3 separate regions of the Mus musculus genome follow, and regions 2 and 3 are each reported to be linked to region 1. The links are microRNA targets in miRTarBase. Many come from high-throughput screens and were not tested one by one. Region 1 holds a microRNA gene; each other region holds the end of a gene's coding sequence.

What was found. The annotated mature microRNA mmu-miR-466f-3p reads CAUACACACACACAUACACAC and lies in region 1 at 880-900, opposite strand. An mRNA with a match to its seed (bases 2 to 7 or 8) in the 3' UTR can be bound and repressed. Matches are read on the target gene's strand: a 7mer-m8 pairs with bases 2 to 8, a 7mer-A1 pairs with bases 2 to 7 and ends in A, and an 8mer does both.
Region 2: miRTarBase lists Uggt1 as a target of mmu-miR-466f-3p. Seed matches in the 3' UTR shown: 7mer-A1 at 726-732.
Region 3: the mRNA of Spta1 is a reported target of mmu-miR-466f-3p. Seed matches in the 3' UTR shown: 7mer-m8 at 450-456 and 7mer-m8 at 456-462.

The regions. Positions count from the first base shown.
Region 1 is chr2:10,464,898-10,467,897 of GRCm38, reverse strand. It overlaps Mir466f-1 (microRNA 466f-1), which reads right to left and starts at 954; the gene lies at 861-954. All of the region lies in intron 10 of Sfmbt2 (Scm-like with four mbt domains 2), which reads right to left. Mir466m (microRNA 466m) reads right to left here and starts at 1,235; the gene lies at 1,152-1,235. Mir669f (microRNA 669f) reads right to left here and starts at 669; the gene lies at 549-669. It also overlaps Mir669e and Mir669b.
Region 2 is chr1:36,141,501-36,144,598 of GRCm38, forward strand. It overlaps Uggt1 (UDP-glucose glycoprotein glucosyltransferase 1), which reads right to left. Exons shown (of 41, transcript NM_198899.2): 41 at 1-2,751. The coding sequence ends at 2,726. It overlaps Mir6897 (microRNA 6897), which reads right to left and starts at 2,813; the gene lies at 2,752-2,813.
Region 3 is chr1:174,247,248-174,250,345 of GRCm38, forward strand. Spta1 (spectrin alpha, erythrocytic 1) reads left to right here. Exons shown (of 52, transcript NM_011465.4): 52 at 85-1,202. The coding sequence ends at 210. It overlaps Olfr419 (olfactory receptor 419), which reads right to left. Exons shown (of 1, transcript NM_146715.2): 1 at 2,642-3,098. The coding sequence ends at 2,737. Among named protein-coding and RNA genes, the nearest start is that of Olfr419, 2.2 kb to the right of the region's middle.

The DNA.
Region 1 (3,000 bases):
GTGTCTGTATCTGCGCATGCGTGTATATGTTTGTGTGTATGTATATGTACATTAATAGACACACATGCACATGCACACAAAACTATATACACATGCACATACATTCATGGGGGACATCCCATGAATTCTAGGCTGATGTCTAACTCATCATGAAATTAAGCATGAATTTCATCTCCTAATCCTCCTGAGTATGGCAAACATTGTTACCTGGTGAGTGAGATCTCTCCCTGGCACTGTCCTGCCTAAACTCTCAAGCTCTAAGACACATATCATTCAAATGGATGTGTGTGTGTGTGCATGAGTGTGTAAGTGTGTGTATATTCATATTCATATACACAAATGAACATGCACACACAAGACACACACCTGCCCATATATAGGGTACAGCCCATGAATCCCAGGCTGATCTTTAACTCATTATGAAGTTAAGCATGATTTTGAACTCTGGATACTGATGCTCTGGCAAGCCTTCCCTGGTGAATGAAAAGTTTCAGTGGCCCAATACTACATAATCTCTAAAGCTCTAAGTCACATATCATTCAAATGGATCAACGAGTGCCATTCCTCTGTGTGTGTTTGTGCTTGCGTTTATACGTGTGTGTGTATGTATATGTATATTCATATACACACATGCACATGCACACACAACTATACACACAGGCACATACATGGGGGGCATCACATGAATCACAGACTAATCTCTAAATTCTCAGGAAGTTGAGCATGAATTTGAATTCCTGATTCTCCTGATTCTGGCAAGCATTTTCACCTTCTGAGTGAGACCATTCACTGGCCCAGTACTGTATAATCTCTAAAACTATAAGTCACATATCATTAAAAGTGATCAGTGAGTGTCATTCATATGTGTGTGTTGCATGTGTGTGTATGTGTGTGTGTATGTGTATGTATATTCATATACACACATGCACATGCACACACACGTAAACACACATGCACATACATATGAATACCAGGATGATCTCTAACTGAAGGTAAGCATGAATTTGAACTTCTGATCCTCCTGACTCTGTCAATCGTTTACACCTGGTGAGTGAGAACATTCACTGTCCCCTATTGCATAATCTCTAAAACTCTAAGTCACATACCATTCAAATGGATTGATAAGTGCCATTCCTGTATGTGTGTGTTTGTGTGTGTGTACGTGCGTGTGTATGTGTGTATGTATATGTATATTCATATACACACATGCACATGCACACACAAGAACACACACAGGCACATACATAGGGGCCATCACATAAATCCCAGGATGATTTCTAAATCTTCATGAAGTTAATTATGAATTTGAACTCTTTATTCTCCTGACTCTGGCAAGCGTTTTTACTTAGTGAGTGAGATGTCTCACTGGCCCAGTATTACATAGTATTGAAAGATCTAATTTACATATCATACAAATGGATTGATAAGTGCCATTCATGTGTGTTTTTCCACGCGTGCATGTCTATGTTAGTGTGTATGTATATTTATATTTATATTATACACACATGCACATGAACACACACGTATATACATAAGCTGCATCACATGATACAGGCTGATCCCTAACTCTTGATGAAGTTAAGCATGAATTTCAACTCCTGATCCTCCTGACTCTGGCAAGGATTTTAGCCTGGTATTTGAAGCCTCACCCTCACTCAATACTACATAATCTCCAAAGCTCTACGTCACATATCATTCAAATGGATTGACAAGTGACATTCCTGCATGTATGTGTGTGCGTCTGTATGTGTATGTGTACATATATTGATATGCACACATGTACATGCACACACAAGTATAAACACATGCACATACATGGGGGGCATGACATGAATCCCAGGCTGATCTCTAACTCATCATGAATTTAACCATGAATTTGAACTCTGAAACATACTGACTGTGGCAAAAGTATTCAGCTAACGAGTGAAACAACACACTGGCCCAGTACTGCATAAGCTCTAAAGCTCTGAGTCACATATTATTCAAAAGGATATATGATGCCATTACTCTAAGTGGTGTGTGTGGGTGGGTGGGTGTGGGTGTGTACATGTGTGTACATGTGTGTATATGCATATTCATATAGAGAAATGAATATGCACACAACTATACACACATGCACATTTTTGGTGGGCATCACATGAATCGCATGCTGATCTCTAACTCATCATGAAGTTAAACATGAATTTGAACTCCAGGACCTCCTGACTCTGGCAAGGGATTTCACCTCCTAACTGAGACATAGCTCTGACCTGGTACTGCATAAGCTCTAAAGCTCTGAGTCACATATCATTCAAAAGGATATATGAGTGCCATTCGTGTGTGCATGCGTGCATATGCATATTCACATAGAGAAGTGAATATGCACACAACTATGCACACATGCACTTTCTTGGTGGGCATCACATGAATCTCATGCTGATCTCTAACTCTTCATGAAGTTAAGCATGAATTTGAACTCTGTAGCCTCCTGACACTGGCAAGAATATTCACCTCCTACCTGAGACATAGCTCTGGCCATTCCTGTGAGTGTGTGTGCATGCGTGTATATGCATATTCATATAGAAAAATGAATATGCACACAACTATACACACATGCATATCCTTGGTGGCCCAGTACTGCAGCATCTCTAAAACTCTAAGTCACTTATCATTCAAATGGATCAATGAGTAACATTCATGTGTGTGTGTGTGTGTGTGTTGTGTGTGTGCATATGTGTGTATACATATATTCATATACACACATACACACACACATAAACACACATGCACATACATAGAGCGCATCACATGAATCCAGGCTGATCTCTAACTCTTCATGAAGTTAAGCATGGATTTGATCCTCATAACTCTGGCAAACATTTCCATGGGGTGACTGAAATCACTCACTGACCCAGGACTGCAGCATCTCTAAAACTCTAAGTCACTTATCATTCAAATGGATCAATGAGTAACATTCCTGTGTTTGTGTGTGTGTGTGTCTGTGTGTGTTTCTGTGTGTGA
Region 2 (3,098 bases), not on the chromosome of region 1:
ATTCAGAAAGGAAACACTCTACTGCTATATGACAGGAGGTCAAAGAACCATTTATTCGCAGGCCAAGAATGGCGGTGAGCTCTCCAGGAGCCTCAATAACCTGTCTGCTCAGTCACTTCCTGCTTCTTGGAGAATAGCTCATCTCTCTTTTCAGTCACAACATGCTTTTTCGTAGTGAGAATGTCAGGTGAAATCTGACAGGGACACCCTTCCAGGGCCACTTGCCGGCAGCAGCCCATTTGTGGCAGTGGCTTAGTTTGTAGAGATGATTTAATCCACAGGATGCAAGGAAGGACCAGGAAAGGGGGGGCCTGGACAGCTTTAGAAGGGTTTAGTTTAGGGTCTGGCCTAGCCAGCATCAGCTCTGAATATGACTTATGTCAGTGTAGTGACCCACGAGGGACTAAAGGGCCATAGGAGACCCATGCCTTCCTCTTCCTCAGAGGAGGCACACATAATTTGGTAAGAGAAGGACCCTGGCCACCGGGCCAGCATCTCAGAGCACTGACTATTCCTGCTCAACACTCCAGGCTCCCAGGGCACTGGGAAGACAGCTTCCGCTCACAGTCGGGCGCAGCAGCCCTGAGAGCTTAATCCAGGGTGGACATGAAGCCTGAACAAAGGCTGGCTCTTAAGCTAACTTTTAGATTTGAAAATGGGGGGGGGGGAGATATTACTTGATATATGTGTGGTAATTTTTTTATTTTTTGAAATTCATGTTGTAATATACACTGTATCAATAAATGTCAAGGGCTAGTTAAGCTAAGAAGCTATGGAACATGTTTGTCTCAAACGTATCCTCCATGGCCCTTTGTCTGGGGATGTGTGCCCCTTCCCTGACTTTATGACAAATGACAAAACACTTTGATAATCCAAGAGTCAAAATACATCGCTTGAAACAGCTGGGAAGTAATTTATTCCCAGACACCTTTCCAAGGTCAGAGGGCTCGCTACAGCCTGTCCTTGCTACCCAAGCGCCTGCAGAGGGAGAGGGAGAAAACCCTGCTGACCGACCGATGGTAGCAGCCCCCCAGCTCGTTTCTGGGGTGTCGTGAGCACCGAACTAAATGATGTTGTTTTTAGTGCTGCTCTTTGTTCTCTTATGTGGATTCCTGACCTGAGGGGACACTTGTGCTCTGCCCAGGACTCTCAGTGGGAGCTCCAGCTGACGAGGTAAGGGGGTTAATGCTGGTTCTCTGAATTCCCAATCCAGTTTTCTGTCTCTACTTATTACTTAACAATTGCCCACTCAAATCCCTAACCACGGCTCCTGTAGGCCATTCTTCCATGGTAACACACATATTACCTAGCTTGGACAGGCAAGAACTTAGTTACCCACAGTACTCATTCCTCATATTCAGTCTTTTTTTTTGGGGGGGGGGGGCTGGGGAGATACAGTACCAGACAGAAGGCCTTGGGCTTGCTAGACAAGCACTCTGTCTGCCACTGAGCCACACCCTGTGCCCAGCAACACTAACTCTCTGCTGTAGATCCCTGAGTCCTGGGCAGAGATGACACCACACACCCACACCTGTCCAGCCAGGTTAACAACACGTGGAAGGCTCCTCAGCCCAGGCTGCTCCCGAGGTGATGCTGGGCTGTGGCTGTGAACACAAAGCAGTGAAGGGTGCTGCTTCAGACAGCAGCAGTACCTTAGAACTGGACCAGACCTCGGCAAGTCTCGAAAGCCAAAGGGGACCCTCAGAGCCAAAGCACAAGGGAAAGACAGAGTGTAGGAAACCGAGTTCCAGAGACAGAGTCATTCCTGGTCACAGGTCTGAGAGCATTTGGGGGAAGAAACACCCAAAGTTATCCCCTGGGTCTGAGAGAAAACTCTACAAGGGAAAGGGCAGACAGTATGGTGCATCCAGACGGAGGCTGAGCACGCTGAGAGCGGTCACTGAGGGACTCAGGACGCCTGTGCCCAGCCAGGAAACTGATAACCAACAGCTTTTTAGAAAGTAAGAAGAAAAAGCACACATTTTCATAAATAGAAAAATTGTTTACAAAACAATTACCTGGACAGTTCACTGGGTACTAGACTGAAGAGAACGGCCCATGTTTTTGTCTTCCATCGAACACCCCAACACTCTCCACTACCTGCCATTTCTTCCAGCCTTATCCACACCACCCCGTTTCTCCTGAAGACTGATTTGCTTAGCAACTGCACTGAGCCAACCCTGAAGACACATGATTATTGGTTGGGCTCCATTAAACAACAAGCCTAGTGCTTGGGAAGGGGGGTGGGGAGGGGAAGAGACGTGAGAAGCATGTTGGCGTAGACCTTGAGGCATGGATGAAGCATCTGCCGGCCTGACCTGGTACAGGGTGGGCATCTGCACTGCAGCAAGGGCTGCAGGTAAACTGAGGTAAGGAAGAACATGGTGACCTTTCTGCCCAGCTTCTGGGCCAGCACAGCAGTGTGTGCTCTGGGCTGTGGGCACCGAAGGACTGGGCTTCTTGCAGTTGCTGCCGGCATTTCTCCCTCTGGTGAGAAGAAGAGTCCCAGAAGACCAGCCACTTGTCTTCCTCTGAGGTACAAATCCAACAGAGCCTTAGCCCCAAGGATCTAGCACCCACTAGGGTGCAGTAGTCTAAATCAATGCTCAGATCAATAGGTGTGGTACACCTGCCCAATCCGTTCATCAGCAGTCGTATCGAAAGATCAGAGAAAACAGCAGTTAGTCCAAACTGTCAAGGTGGGTTTCCCATCTTCCTCCAGAGATCATAATTCCTCATGCTTCTGAGAGCCTGGGGGAAGAACACAGACCGTGAGACTTACGTCATAAAACAGCGTGTGACACTGCCCCCAGCACAGCACTGTAGCTTCAGATGGTCTGTAGAAGCTTGGTGTTGGCTATTTCTGTATTAAGGGTTGAAAGCGAACCTAAGAGAAGAAGACATTTTTAGCTCTAAGAACTGACACGCCCTTGGGCTATACACGGCCTCCACCAGGGCAGCGCTGGCTCTCGGGGTCTCCAGCAGGGCAGAGCTGGCTCTGGGCCACACACTGCTGTGTGCAGAAATCTTCTGCACTTACACATTCTTTCTGTGAGCCAGGGCAGCTGTTCTTTGATCCTTAAACTGTTTTAAGGTTG
Region 3 (3,098 bases), not on the chromosome of region 1:
AGCTGCTTCTTCTGATGGCTCTCCATCTGTGAGAACAAGTGTTGGGTTTCTGTAACTCTGTCTTTCTCCTTTCATTCTTTCCAGGCTCTCACCCCGGAACAAGTGTCATTCTGTACCATACATATGCAGCAATATATGGATCCACGGGGTCGGAGCCAACCTGCTGGCTACGACTATGTTGGCTTCACCAATTCATTCTTTGGCAATTGATATGCAGATTCTTATGCATCATAGAAAATCATAGTGTGGCAGCAAGTAATGGGGGATAAGAGGCACAAGCAAGCGTGAAAGAAAAAAAGATCCTGCTGCTCTGTGTGTGTGTGTGTTACATTTATTGTGGGATTTTTAAAAAAATAATCAAGTATATAGCGGGGGCTAAGAAAAATCTATAGGATTATGTAACTAGTCTCTACCTAGGGTGCCAAGATTTTAATGTGTGTGTGTGTGTGTGTGTATGTGTATGTGTGTGTGTGCTGCACACCTTTAAGATTTTACTGCATTCTGATTATAGCAGAAATATTTCTTTTTTAAAGGGAAATTTAGGTAAAATTATGCTTTTGTATTTTTGGAACCATATTATTACTAAATATAATATGCAATTAATTATACTGTGGAAAAGGACAATAATAAATTAGATAAATAAAATACAAGGTGATTCACAGTTTGTTAGTAGCTTTTAAGAGAGATGAAATCCTTACAATTTGAAATGTTTGTAATTTTGTCTTATTCTATGAAGTAGAGTCAGAAAAAGATAACATAAAATGCTTGTTTTCTTCTTGTCCTGTTTTGATATTTCACCATTAAAGTGAATGACTTTGGCATGTCAGGGTCCTCTCATGTTCCCTAAATCTCTGAATACTCTCTTACATTTTAATATGATACAACTGATGTTTTATTCATTTCTATCTTCTCAGAAGCCAGTAAAATGTTCATAATTTAAGGAAAAAACCAAGAAGCTATGGTGGTACTATATCTAGGTGTTTTCAGTACAGGTATGTTTCTTAGGTAACTTTGTTGCCTTTTGTGAAATTTAGCCTTTCGTACAGATAGCCTATTGCTCATGAATATCACTCCTTATTTACTATCTTAAGTCTCAGTTTTTTCGCTTGAGTAGAAATTAACCCCTCCTCAATCTTTGGGAAAAAATTCTCACAGGATCTAATTAAAATACTTATGGCTACAAATAAAGATATTTGAAAATGACAAGTAGTCTTTTTATAACATTTACCTTAAGCCATTAACTATAGTGGAATATAACAATCAGAACATACCCCCAAAATGTTTACCAGTGTCTAATTTAGTTATAAATGACCAAGATCTTTCCAACTGGGTGGTTATGACATAATAGACCATCAAAAATCAGTATGAGCTGAATAAAATTGGGCTATCAGTTTATATTTCTCAGGTCATTTATATTTCCATCTCCTTGATAAGCCTGGTGGATCTGGAGCTTAGCATCTCAAAGCCTTCATTTTTCTTCAGCCTAAGGTAATAGCTAGGATTCCTTCCTTGTCTCCTTGATTCTTATTTGTCTCTGCTGAAACTCTCTATCCTCCCTACTCATGTGCTGATCTTTCTAAATCGCAGATATCTTTCTGCTCCATTTATTATGCCCTGTCTCCTGCTTCACAAAAGGATCATACTGAAGTGAGATATTCAACTGATGACTTCCTTGAACAACAAAAACTCCCTAGGCTAACACATTTCTCATTTGTATGACTTTCACTTTCTCTGACCCACTCAGTTGTCTCTGTAACATATCCACAGTCTCTCATTACCCAGCCTGTTATCTTTTTCTGAGTGACCCAGTCAGTTTAGGACATGTTTCATCCATTCTTTAGGAATAAGAACACACACAAACTTAGTCAGGAAGCTGTCTCAGATCCACGGACTAAAAGCCAGCATCACAACATTGTTACAAGTAGCAAGTGGCATTCATTAAAATATGACTATGACTCGAGTATATTGATAAATTCTTTATATATGTATGAAACCTTTAGTCATATACAAAAGTATGTAATGATAACTATTTTACAAATGAGGGCACTGAAGCTGAAAACAGGCAAGTAACTTACCCAGCTTAACACAGCTAGTTAGTTGAAGAGCTTGTGTTCACATTCCTGCCAGGCTACTGAGGAAGTCATTTTTAATTCTCCCTAACAACAACCCGAGGCATGTATGAAACACTGTAGGTGGAAGGAACAGGCAAAGTAAATAGCTCTACAACAAACTCAGAAAGATAAGAGATGCAGTGAGGGGTGAGGAGCAAAAGCAGCAAGAGGGCTTCTGCCTACCCAGCATCTTCCAGACTACATCCCGAGTTTCAGGCCTTGGAAGAACATTATTGATCAAATAGTCTCATTGTATAATCACTTTAAAATTCTCTACAATGCTCCTGGATCTTGGCATCGTAGCCTTGAAATTCTTTCATCTTGTTTAGCTCAGCTGGGAAAACAGTCATGATTAAGAAAATTCTTGTTTCTCGATTTGTTTTGATAATTGGGAGTGGCATCTATGAGACTGAAGGTGAATATTTAAGATTTGGAGCTCACTGTGGGTTGAACACAGTAAACAGAGCAAGAACTCCTGTTTTATCCTTCCAGGCATCATGGGAGGAAAGGCAAAGGAGGGATGTGGAGTTTTGGTACAGCAGTTTTGCCCAAATTGTAAAATATCTAGTCCATTGTATTGAACCTGGTCTAGGGTGTGCTTATGCAAATGTCTCCAGGCTAGCCTTTATCCTTTACCAAGTAAACTCCCCCGGAAAGCATTTCTCAGAGCTGTCTGCACAGCCCGATTCCTTAGACTATAAACAATAGGATTGAGGAGAGGGGTTGCCACAGTGTAGGTGACAGCAATAAGCTGATCCCTCTCAAGAGAGTAGCTGGCTTTGGGTCTCAAGTACATGAAGGAGGCACAGCCATAGTGAATCACGACCACTGTGAGGTGTGAGGCACAAGTAGAAAAAGCTTTTCTCCGTCCCTCGGCAGAAGGGATTCTCAGGATTGCTACCAAAATATAGGCATAGGAGACACTAATTAAGAAGAACGAGACCAAGAGGACCAGCAGACTAAGGATGAGGATTCCCAGTTCACTTA